3 linked regions of the Saccharomyces cerevisiae S288C genome follow. The gene in region 1 interacts genetically with each later gene. Each region holds a gene or a part of one and is shown on either strand. Other genes may lie near its edges. The genes, in order: SKA1, CNM1 and NTF2.

The links.
Region 2: of SKA1 (region 1) and CNM1, changing one suppresses a phenotype caused by changing the other (phenotypic suppression), as found in Saccharomyces cerevisiae (one large-scale study listed by BioGRID).
Region 3: mutations in SKA1 (region 1) and NTF2 together harm fitness more than expected from each alone (negative genetic interaction), as found in Saccharomyces cerevisiae (one large-scale study listed by BioGRID).

The regions. Positions count from the first base shown.
Region 1 is NC_001143.9:391,560-395,054, forward strand, and holds SKA1 (Ska1p), read left to right. Parts: upstream 1-2,161; coding exon 2,162-2,995; downstream 2,996-3,495. Other genes in the region: PAN-complex poly(A)-binding subunit PAN3, read right to left, coding at 1-720; URA6 (bifunctional uridylate/adenylate kinase), read right to left, coding at 967-1,581; MIN9 (Min9p), read right to left, coding at 1,587-1,814; anaphase promoting complex subunit CDC16, read right to left, coding at 3,167-3,495.
Region 2 is NC_001134.8:366,347-370,038, reverse strand, and holds CNM1 (Cnm1p), read left to right. Parts: upstream 1-1,854; coding exon 1,855-3,069; downstream 3,070-3,692. Other genes in the region: NRG2 (Nrg2p), read left to right, coding at 1-2; Pre-mRNA-splicing factor ECM2, read left to right, coding at 361-1,455; YBR062C (uncharacterized protein), read left to right, coding at 3,439-3,454, 3,537-3,692.
Region 3 is NC_001137.3:170,348-173,153, reverse strand, and holds NTF2 (Ran GTPase-binding protein NTF2), read right to left. Parts: upstream 1,040-2,806; coding exon 662-1,039; downstream 1-661. Other genes in the region: YER010C (bifunctional 4-hydroxy-4-methyl-2-oxoglutarate aldolase/oxaloacetate decarboxylase), read left to right, coding at 1-520; GTP-Rho binding exocyst subunit SEC3, read left to right, coding at 1,336-2,806. UniProt on the Saccharomyces cerevisiae protein: Facilitates protein transport into the nucleus. Interacts with various nucleoporins and with Ran-GDP. Could be part of a multicomponent system of cytosolic factors that assemble at the pore complex during nuclear import.

The sequences.
Region 1 (3,495 bases):
TGATGGCTGTTCAGGTGCATATAGGTGATACTGTAGAAGACTGTGAGGAGGCGGATAAATACGTGGGTACTTAAGATTACTACTCTCTATGGGTGGCGGTTGCATAGGAGGTGGCACATTATTAGCCATACTCATATTGTTACTATTATCATCAGTGGCGTTTATATTTATGCCACCAGAATTTGCAATGGAGGGAAATGGAAAAGAATGTGCATTTGCATTAGTGTGAATTGAGGAGGTTGAAGACGGAGTGAAAATGGGGGCATTGAAGGGGTCGTAATTGGAACTCGAAGCGGTAGTTGGTATTGATATGCTTATATTACTATTATTGTTATTGTTATTCACTAACGAGCTATTAACTATCGGATTAATCATCGGATTAACTGTAGAAGCAGTAGCAGAGGTAGCTGCCATGGCGATATTGCCAGTAGCATTTGTAGCAGCGGAGGTGGTATTCGTCACAGTGGTTAAGGAGTCACTACCGACTGTCATCGGAGTGAAACTTGCGGATACTTTAGCATTGAACTTAGGAACTGATGTCATGGTCGGAGTTGTAGCCTCACCCACATCTATTGGAGGAGGAACGTCATTTATGGTAGTAGCGGTAGTGTTATCGCTGTGTTTGAAAGGGCAACCTTCTTTCTCCTTTTTGCAGTAGCCATAAATAGTGATATTTCTGCACGGAATATCCTTCGCCCAATCAGGATTGATTTTGTCCATGGCGTAAGATACGTCTGACTAGTCTTTTAGGCTTACCTATCATCGAAACAGTGCTCCCGCCATTGTTATTATTGCTCTTTTAATTCATAAACCAAATAATTTAGCAGTTTATTTTAAGGTTACCCTGTAAAGGTCTGATATGTAGGGGAGGGCATATAATCATTTTAATATATATGTATATATTCTTACATATATATATAATATCGCCGTAACTTATAGCGTAAACTATATAAAATACGTCTTAGTCTATAAGCTATCACGGATAGCGTCTTGGACGTCTTTGTACACATCTTCGACGGATCTGTCGCAACGAACACGGACGACTTTCGATTTGGTTTCAAAGTACTCGATGACGGGCATACTAGTCTCCTTGAAAGTGTTAAATCTCTTCTTAATGGACTCAATGTTGTCATCGCTTCTACCACTGGTCTTGCCACGCTCCAATAGTCTCTCTAACATGATATCTTCAGGGCAGTCAAAGAACAGGATGAATTTGCTTTCAACGATGTCTCTTTCAAAGGAAATGGCTTGATCCATCTTCCTAGGAAATCCGTCAATTAAGAACTTATGCTTGTTCGCCTTGACGTTATCGGAAATAGCGTTGCGTAAAAGCGCCAAAGTAATCTCTTGAGGGACAATCTGGCCCTCTTTGATGCAGTTCTTGATCAATTCCCCATATTGGGAACCTGCTCTGCCCTGCTCAGCACGTAGAAGGTCTCCGGCTGACAAATGGACAAATGAATAGTCCTTAACTAGTTTTTCACACTGAGTACCCTTGCCTGCACCGGGTCCTCCTAGAACGAAGATCACGGAAACTTGGTCAGGCGAGAAAGCTGGCTGTGATGTAGTGGCAGCTGTCATTTGTCTTATTCAAGAAATTCAACTGGTTCGTTCTTTTGATAGTTTACCGAAATAACTGATGTCACGAGTGCTAAAGTTCCTACGAGTACCAACAATTTGCCTTTGTGTTTACCCTTGCTTTGACTTTTGTTAGCGCGTGGTACGTTTACGTTGGTCTTCGAAGGTGCTGTATTGTGGAAAGTTGGTTTTTTCGAAGAATAAAATCTCAGTATAAACCTGTAGCGTGGATTCATAATATAACTAAGCTAACATAAAAACGGGAGAGGGTGTGTGCGACTAAAGGCAAAGACAGGAATGCATCGCTTTAAAAGATCACCATAACTACTTAAAAGTTTCGTTAACGTGGTGAAAAAGAAAAGAAAAAGAAAAGTGAAAAAAATAAACCTAGGGTTGAAAATATAATCAGTTAGGTGTCATGATATTGATACATTTATTTCTATAGGTCTGAGAGTACTAACTTAGGGTATATGAGGGGTGTTAAGTTGGGATGATGACGCATTAATTAAGAGTTCATTATATGAGGATATTGTATACAATGCAAGAATAGCGCCCCAATCCCGGCCAGGTATAACGTGCAAGCATGAATAAAGAAGAATTATTGGGTTTTCTACTAGATGACAGTATTGATAGCCAAAAAAGATGCGTCACGGATCAGCAGGCCTACTCTAATTGGTTAAAGAATGATAATGATGAACGTACGGCCCATGAGGAAAGCTCTTCACAAAGTACGATAGCCGCATTGAATAAGAAGAAGCAGACAGAAGCTGCTCAAGAAGATATAGAAGAACTGTTAAACGGCTTAGAAGGCATTATTGGAGGAGCCGACCCCCGTAATCTCAAGAGTAAGTCAAAGAGGAAAACCAAAAAGGGCGGATCGAAACCAAGGGAAGAAAACGTGAATACGGAGAAACATATTGTAATGCTCGAGGTAGAAGATTTTAGTGATATGAGCACCCACGAAGATGTCAACGGAGCAAGTCCGTCGCCAAATCTGGACCGGTCGAAGAAGAATGAGAAGCGAAGGAAAAACGCCAAGGAGCTGTCATACGATGAACTAAAAGACAAACTAGAAGTTACCACTCGCAAATCACGTCTTGAGTGCAAAGACTTGAAAAAGAAAGTTCATGGGCTCGAAAGAAGGAACCTTGAACTTGAACAGCGTTTAGAAGAGCTGAAGATTGAGAACCAGACTTTGATAGAGATTAACAATAAACTGTTGAAAAACACTAATGAGGATGAGATTAACAAGAGCCAGAGGAACAAGGAGAAGGACCGAAAGCGGAGGGAAAGAAGAACGGCAAGGAGAAAAGATGAAAGAAAGCAGGAAAAAAAGCAGGAAAAAAAGCAGGATAATAAAACATCTCAATCTTTTCCTTCCTCAACTGACATGAATGGACAGCCTATAGAATTTTGAATGCATTCTAATGACATAACTATTTGACGACGTGAATTAGAAACACATACTTTTACGTGTGGCTGCCTCTAAGAATTAAACTTCTTTTCTTTTTATTCTTATTTTCTTTAATGAATATATACGCTATACTTGTACTAAGTCGTGTCTTTATTCCTCGCCCGCCTTCGTACTTTATTCCAGTTCCATATCTGCGTCAAAATCATCGTCGGCATTATTACTTCCAGTTTTGCTGTCATGACCTCCCTTTCTTAGAGCTTTGTTATTCTGATCAAAGATCTCCTTTTGTGTTCTCAACCTTTTAGCCATGTTGACAGGGTCATAAGTCAATGAAGATCTTTTTTTATTGAGCGAAGCCTTGTCCTTACTTGCCTGACTCATTAAATTCGACTTGTCAATAAGTGGGTGGCTGGCATCCAATGATAACGTCACGTTTAGCTCTAGGGCATTTTTCAAAAGCGCTGTTGCAGATGAATTATTAGGCTTTAGGTACAATGATTTGT
Region 2 (3,692 bases), on another chromosome or scaffold:
GATGTGAGTGAGCTCAGCCAAAAACATTTAAATATTCAAATAACGTACAAATAAAAGACTGATAAATAGTAATAAAACTAAGCGGGTTAGTAATACTCACCAAGAACAATAGCAGGAACGATAGTCGGTTCTCTTTCGTAATTTTTTTAAGTCACAACCCGGAGGGACGTGAAGTTTCAAACCTTATTCATTCCGGGATTACCCTCTCCTGTGATGACGTTTAGGCAATAAGGACTAAAAAAAAAAAAAAGAAATGCTATGGCAAATTTTATTGATAGAAGTGGTAATGATGATGGAAGGGCTTTTGAGCAGGTGAATAGAAGGTAGCTAACGGAAAAGAGTTATTGCACCCTTAATATAATGAATGATGAAATTAATGAGCCACCGCCCAATATATGTGAGCAGTGCTTAGGTGATGAGGCTAATATACGAATGACTAAAATTCCACAAGGCTCTGAATGTAAGATTTGTACCTTACCGTTCACCTTATACCATTTTAAGACGTCTAAACGAAGCAATAATATCATTAAAACATTAATATGTGTACGGTGCGCCACTCAGAGAAACATTTGTCAATGCTGTATGCTTGATTCAAGATGGCACATCCCTATACAACTGCGGGATCATTTAATATCCCTTGTGAACGAGGAAAACGTTATGACGGAGGAAGCAAAAAACGACATGATGAAAAGGTTTCTGTCACTAAAAAACGTGAAATTAGGAGGAGCTCAGATTACGAGTGATCCGTCAGAAGCAGATAATATCGTTGATAAATTGAAAAATATACTTCTGCGAGCAACATCAGATGGCCCAAGTACTCCGTTAATAAAAAACACAACTGCATTGTATAAAAATGAAAAAGGTGCAAATGAGGTCAAAAACTTGGAAAAGTACGCGTCCGTGGACATTTCTCATATTTTGAAGAAACTACCCTTGAATGAATCGTTTTTAAAAAACCCCTCCACCAAATCATTTTTTCTGTATAATATTGATGCCTCGATCCCTGAATGGAAAATAACTGATACAGTTTCGCAATTATTGGGTATAAAGAAATGGAAGGATGGAAATTCATTGTCATTAATAGTCAACCACAAGGCGAAGTGTGGTGGCCTAAGATTTCAATCTAGTGAATTGGGGGAGCGGTTTGTCAGTAAAATAAGTGAGACACTTGTCACACCAAAGGGCCTAAAGAGAGGAGTTTTACTTATTGACCGTTTTAGAATCTTTATCATTCCGTGGTCGTCTGGCTTTTCAGCTGCGTCATTCGGAACCAACACTGCAGAAAATATAAAACTTAGTTTAAGTTTGAATAAGCTTATTCAGTTGGAGCTAGGGCTTTCTTTTCCTACAAAAAGCACAGATAACGCAAAGAATGACAAGAAAAAGACATCAAAAAAAGTTCATAAGGACAGATCAAAGAAATCGAAACCTCGCGCTAACAAGTTAACAATATAGATGAAACGTAAGAAAAATCATGGGTTGAAGAAACGAACTGTTTGATCAATTTCGACCATCCATCTACCTTGCAAGTAATAAACAAAAGCAGGTTGAGTGGGGAACTTTATCTAAGTTGATCAGTATATCTGACAAATTTATACGGAATGCTGCAGTTTGGATTAGCACGAACATTTTATCTGTACGGTTTGTCGCTTTTAGCTGCTCGGGCTCTTCCTCTCGGTTACCGAGATGATAACTCGGCCGAATTTTGTAAGTACAAATAAAAAGAAAGTGACACAATTCTAAAAGTATCACTATAATTTATTATTTTGAGAAAGATAAGGTTCCATAGGTACATGATATATTGACTGATTTCTGATAGCTCTTTTTTTTCCAATATCGATAAAAAACTAAAATATGGAGGAACTAGGTTTAAAAAGCACTTTTCCATATGAATATGGCTCAGACTTTACAATGATAAGAACGGAAATGTTAAATACTACGAAGAGCGAAACAACTATTTTATTTTCCAATATAAAGAGCATTTTGGCCATTATTTGGAAATACTCATTTACATTTTTAAGATCTTTTTCCGATTCCATCAAACTTATTATTGACGATGTTGTCACTATTGGCTCCCGAAATTTTGCAGAGAGATTACAGATTGAAGCGAAAAAAAACAATGACCAAGAAGATATCTGGGCATCCACAATAATTTTGGGTGTGATTATCGGGTATTTAATCTCTTCTATTAAGAGAAAGAACACTTTTCCAATAATGCCTACGAGCTCACCTAAAATAGATGATTGTAGGTTCAAGACTGGTGATACCATATCCATTGTAATAAACTTTAATGAAGACTGCCTCAATAATCGAAGTGACGTTACCGAAGAGAGAAATTATGAGGAATCCACAGTTTTACATTCAAAGGAGTCAGTTCTCAGCATTGGTAGGCAAAATATGGTAACTTTGAACCAAAGCGATGAAAATTTCACCTATGGCAATTTTGATGAGTACGACTTATTAACTAAAGATTATACAACAGAGGTCTTAACGCGATCACCTGGCTCGAATCCCGAGTTTAAAGCAGTGGTAAATAATACATTACTTGATAGCGCGAATGAAACGCCGTTTAAAGGTATTGAAAAAAGTATTAACGAAACAATGGTTAAAGTTCCTATGGGATGCGATGTATCTCTCTCCCATTATGGCAGACAATACGCGCCTGGAAATATTTCAATTATGAGAAGCTTCACTGCTCGAGATAATACTAAATCTGTGAGTAGAGAAATTCGTGATATCTGTAAATCGTTTTTGATTATAAAAAGCCAATTTGGTGACGAACTTTTCCTGACTATGTTCATGGAAAAACCAGTTTTCTTTGATAACAACATCCCAATTGAAATAACTGGAGCATACCGAGAAAAACGAGAGCGATTAGATGAAGTGATTCATAAGGATCTTATCCGCTATGATGAAGTTCAAAATTTGACAAGGATTCGCAATTTGCTCCGGGTTAAAAGTCAAAAGATTTGTTCCAGGAGACATAATAGTTCGGTTCCCACAAAAAAATTGTTAGTTAATGATAAAGGCGCAACTTCGATTCTACTGTGGTACTCTAACTATTCATAGATAAAGTTTATTTGATACATAATCCGGAAAATGTAAGATATGCCAACTGTTAACTAGAAAACATCTGTACTCTATATATCGGAAACAAAAACTTTACGGGTACAACCATGATGAATAAGCTCGAAATTTTTGCCTTCCATATGAGTCCCATTTTGGTGACCAACTCTCCTACCCGAATTACTGTGATGATATATACTCTTCGTTTTCTAGTAATGGCTTCATTTTGCCTAAGTTGGTCAAAATTGTTGTGGGCGGCTTTTGTTTGCACCGAGGAGCGCTCAGTTCGTTATAATACCAGTTTTGCCACTCCTAAACTACTAAAGAAATAATAGAAAGATATATTCATCAAACATAATCACAATCAAAAAAATGTCTACATATGAAGGTATGTAATGATATATTATGAAGTAAGTTCCCCAAAGCCAATTAACTAACCGAATTTTAATCTGCACTCATCATTAGATTAGAGGAACATGGAATACAACAAAACTCAAGGGATTACCAAGAAGTAGGAGGAACTTCACAGGAGGAGCAGAGAAGACAGGTCAGATCCCAACTGCAAGGTCTATTTCAAAACTTTGGTAACACCAGTGGTGAGGGTGATGCACATTCAGATTCAACAC
Region 3 (2,806 bases), on another chromosome or scaffold:
TGCCGTGAACTATATAGACTCTGTCCCTCCCAACTCAATACTCGTCCTCGCACTGGAGCCCCATTTGCAAAGTCAGTTCCACCCATTTATTAAAATTACGCAAGCGATGTACGGGGGGCTGATGAGTACCAGAGCACAATATTTGAAATCGAATGGGACAGTAGTCTTTGGACGCATAAGAGATGTGGATGAACACCGGACTTTAAACCATCCCGTTTTTGCTTACGGTGTTGGATCTTGCGCTCCAAAGGCTGTCGTTAAAGCCGTAGGCACTAACGTACAGTTGAAAATCTTAACGAGTGATGGCGTAACCCAAACAATATGTCCTGGTGATTATATTGCAGGTGACAATAATGGAATAGTACGCATTCCTGTTCAAGAGACTGACATTTCAAAATTAGTTACCTATATCGAAAAGTCAATTGAAGTGGATTTACTTGTCTCTGAAGATATTAAGAATGGTATTCCCGCCAAACAAGCTCAAAATGATCGAAGATCAGTATTAAAGAAATACATTTAAAAACGCTATCTTCATACATATATATATATATATATCTTCTTTATCGCTATCGCCTTATACATCGTTAGCTAAGCATCTTCAATTATGCTAAACAATATTCGAAAATGAAAATACATGTTTCTGTGGTGACTTAAAAAATCCTTAAGCAGAGTAATTCAAACGGAAGATATCGTTAAACACGTAGTAAGAGTTTCCATCAGGAATCAAATGGAACACTTGAGAGAAACGCTGTGGATTTTGTTCTTCGTCAATCAACAGATCACCAGTGATCATGACTAAGACATCGCCATTTGGGGAAGCAGGTTGCGCATCCAAAGTAGTGATACGATGTTGGACCTTTTGAAATGGCAAAGATACTAATTTCTCAACAATGTCCTTTGCACCTTGCAATTGACTAGTCTCGAATGTTAGCATAGATTCATTTCTGTACAAGTTACCCAATTGGCTTCTATCGGTATCAAATTGATTATAGTAAAACTGGGTGAAGTTTTGGGCCAAAGTGTTAAAGTCGAGAGACATTATAAAGATAATAGTATTAAAACCTGGGTTCCTTAGGGGGTATTGTACACTAAAAACTAAAAAGTACTTACTTATCAGCCTAAGTCTCACCTTGCCAAGTCAGAAAATTTTTCGTTGCTTTTTGAGAACCACGCTTGTGGGACTATGTCACCCGGTATTAATGGGCAAATACTAACTTGGTGAACACTTATAGCAATAACAGTATCATAGCTTATGAAGAAAAAGCGGTCATAAAGACTGAGTCGGTGCCAGATATCTCCAGCTAGGTAACAAGGCTACGCAATTTATTCTATATTATGAGGTCCTCGAAGTCTCCTTTTAAAAGGAAGTCTCACAGTCGTGAGACATCACACGATGAAAACACATCGTTTTTCCACAAGAGAACAATATCCGGTAGCAGTGCTCACCATTCTAGAAACGTCAGTCAAGGTGCAGTACCCTCTTCCGCACCACCTGTTTCTGGTGGAAATTATTCGCATAAGAGAAACGTGTCGAGAGCTTCAAATTCCTCTCAAACTTCGAATTTTTTAGCCGAACAATATGAAAGGGATAGGAAAGCCATAATTAATTGCTGCTTTTCCAGACCCGACCATAAGACAGGTGAACCGCCGAATAATTATATTACACATGTCCGGATTATAGAAGATTCAAAATTCCCTAGTTCAAGACCTCCTCCAGATTCAAAATTGGAGAACAAAAAGAAAAGACTCCTTATTTTGAGTGCCAAGCCCAACAATGCCAAGCTAATACAAATTCATAAAGCAAGAGAAAACTCAGACGGCTCTTTTCAAATTGGTAGAACTTGGCAGTTGACCGAACTAGTAAGAGTAGAGAAGGACCTGGAGATATCTGAAGGCTTCATTCTTACCATGAGTAAAAAATACTACTGGGAAACGAATTCTGCGAAGGAAAGAACTGTTTTCATTAAATCTCTAATTACTCTATACATTCAAACATTCGAAGGTCATGTCCCTGAATTGGTCAATTGGGATTTATCCCTTTTTTATCTTGACGAGAGGAGTTATCAAAGAGCAGTCATCACAAATCGCCCCGGTTCCGTATCTCCAATAAAGTCACCTACAAGTAATTTCACGACAAACACTACCCAATCGGTGGGCTCTGTCCCCTTTTCAGCACCTACTGAGAGGACAAGAAGGTCTGAAACAGAAAGCGTTAATCCAGTGTCAACGCCTGCAAGCGTGGAATATCATGCAGGAATGAAATCTCTAAATAAGGCCCCCTATTCTTCCAATTCGACATTGAATGAAGTGAATAAAAGATACGAGTTAGAGCAACAACAGCAACAAGAAGAGGCTGAACTGAGACGATTAGAAGAGCAAAAAAGACTTCAGTTACAAAAGGAAAATGAGATGAAAAGATTAGAAGAGGAAAGAAGAATAAAGCAGGAGGAGAGGAAAAGGCAAATGGAATTGGAACACCAACGACAACTCGAAGAAGAGGAACGAAAACGTCAAATGGAACTGGAGGCTAAAAAGCAAATGGAGTTGAAACGTCAACGGCAATTCGAAGAAGAGCAACGCCTAAAAAAAGAGAGAGAACTATTGGAAATACAGAGAAAACAAAGAGAACAAGAAACAGCTGAGAGATTAAAAAAAGAAGAGCAAGAAGCGCTTGCTAAAAAGGAGGAGGAAGAAAAAAGTAAAAGAAACAAAGTAGACAATGAAAGTTATACTCAAGAAATAAATGGTAAGGTTGATAACCTTTTGGAGGACTTAAACGCAGTTTTGGCGGAAGAAACAGAAACCA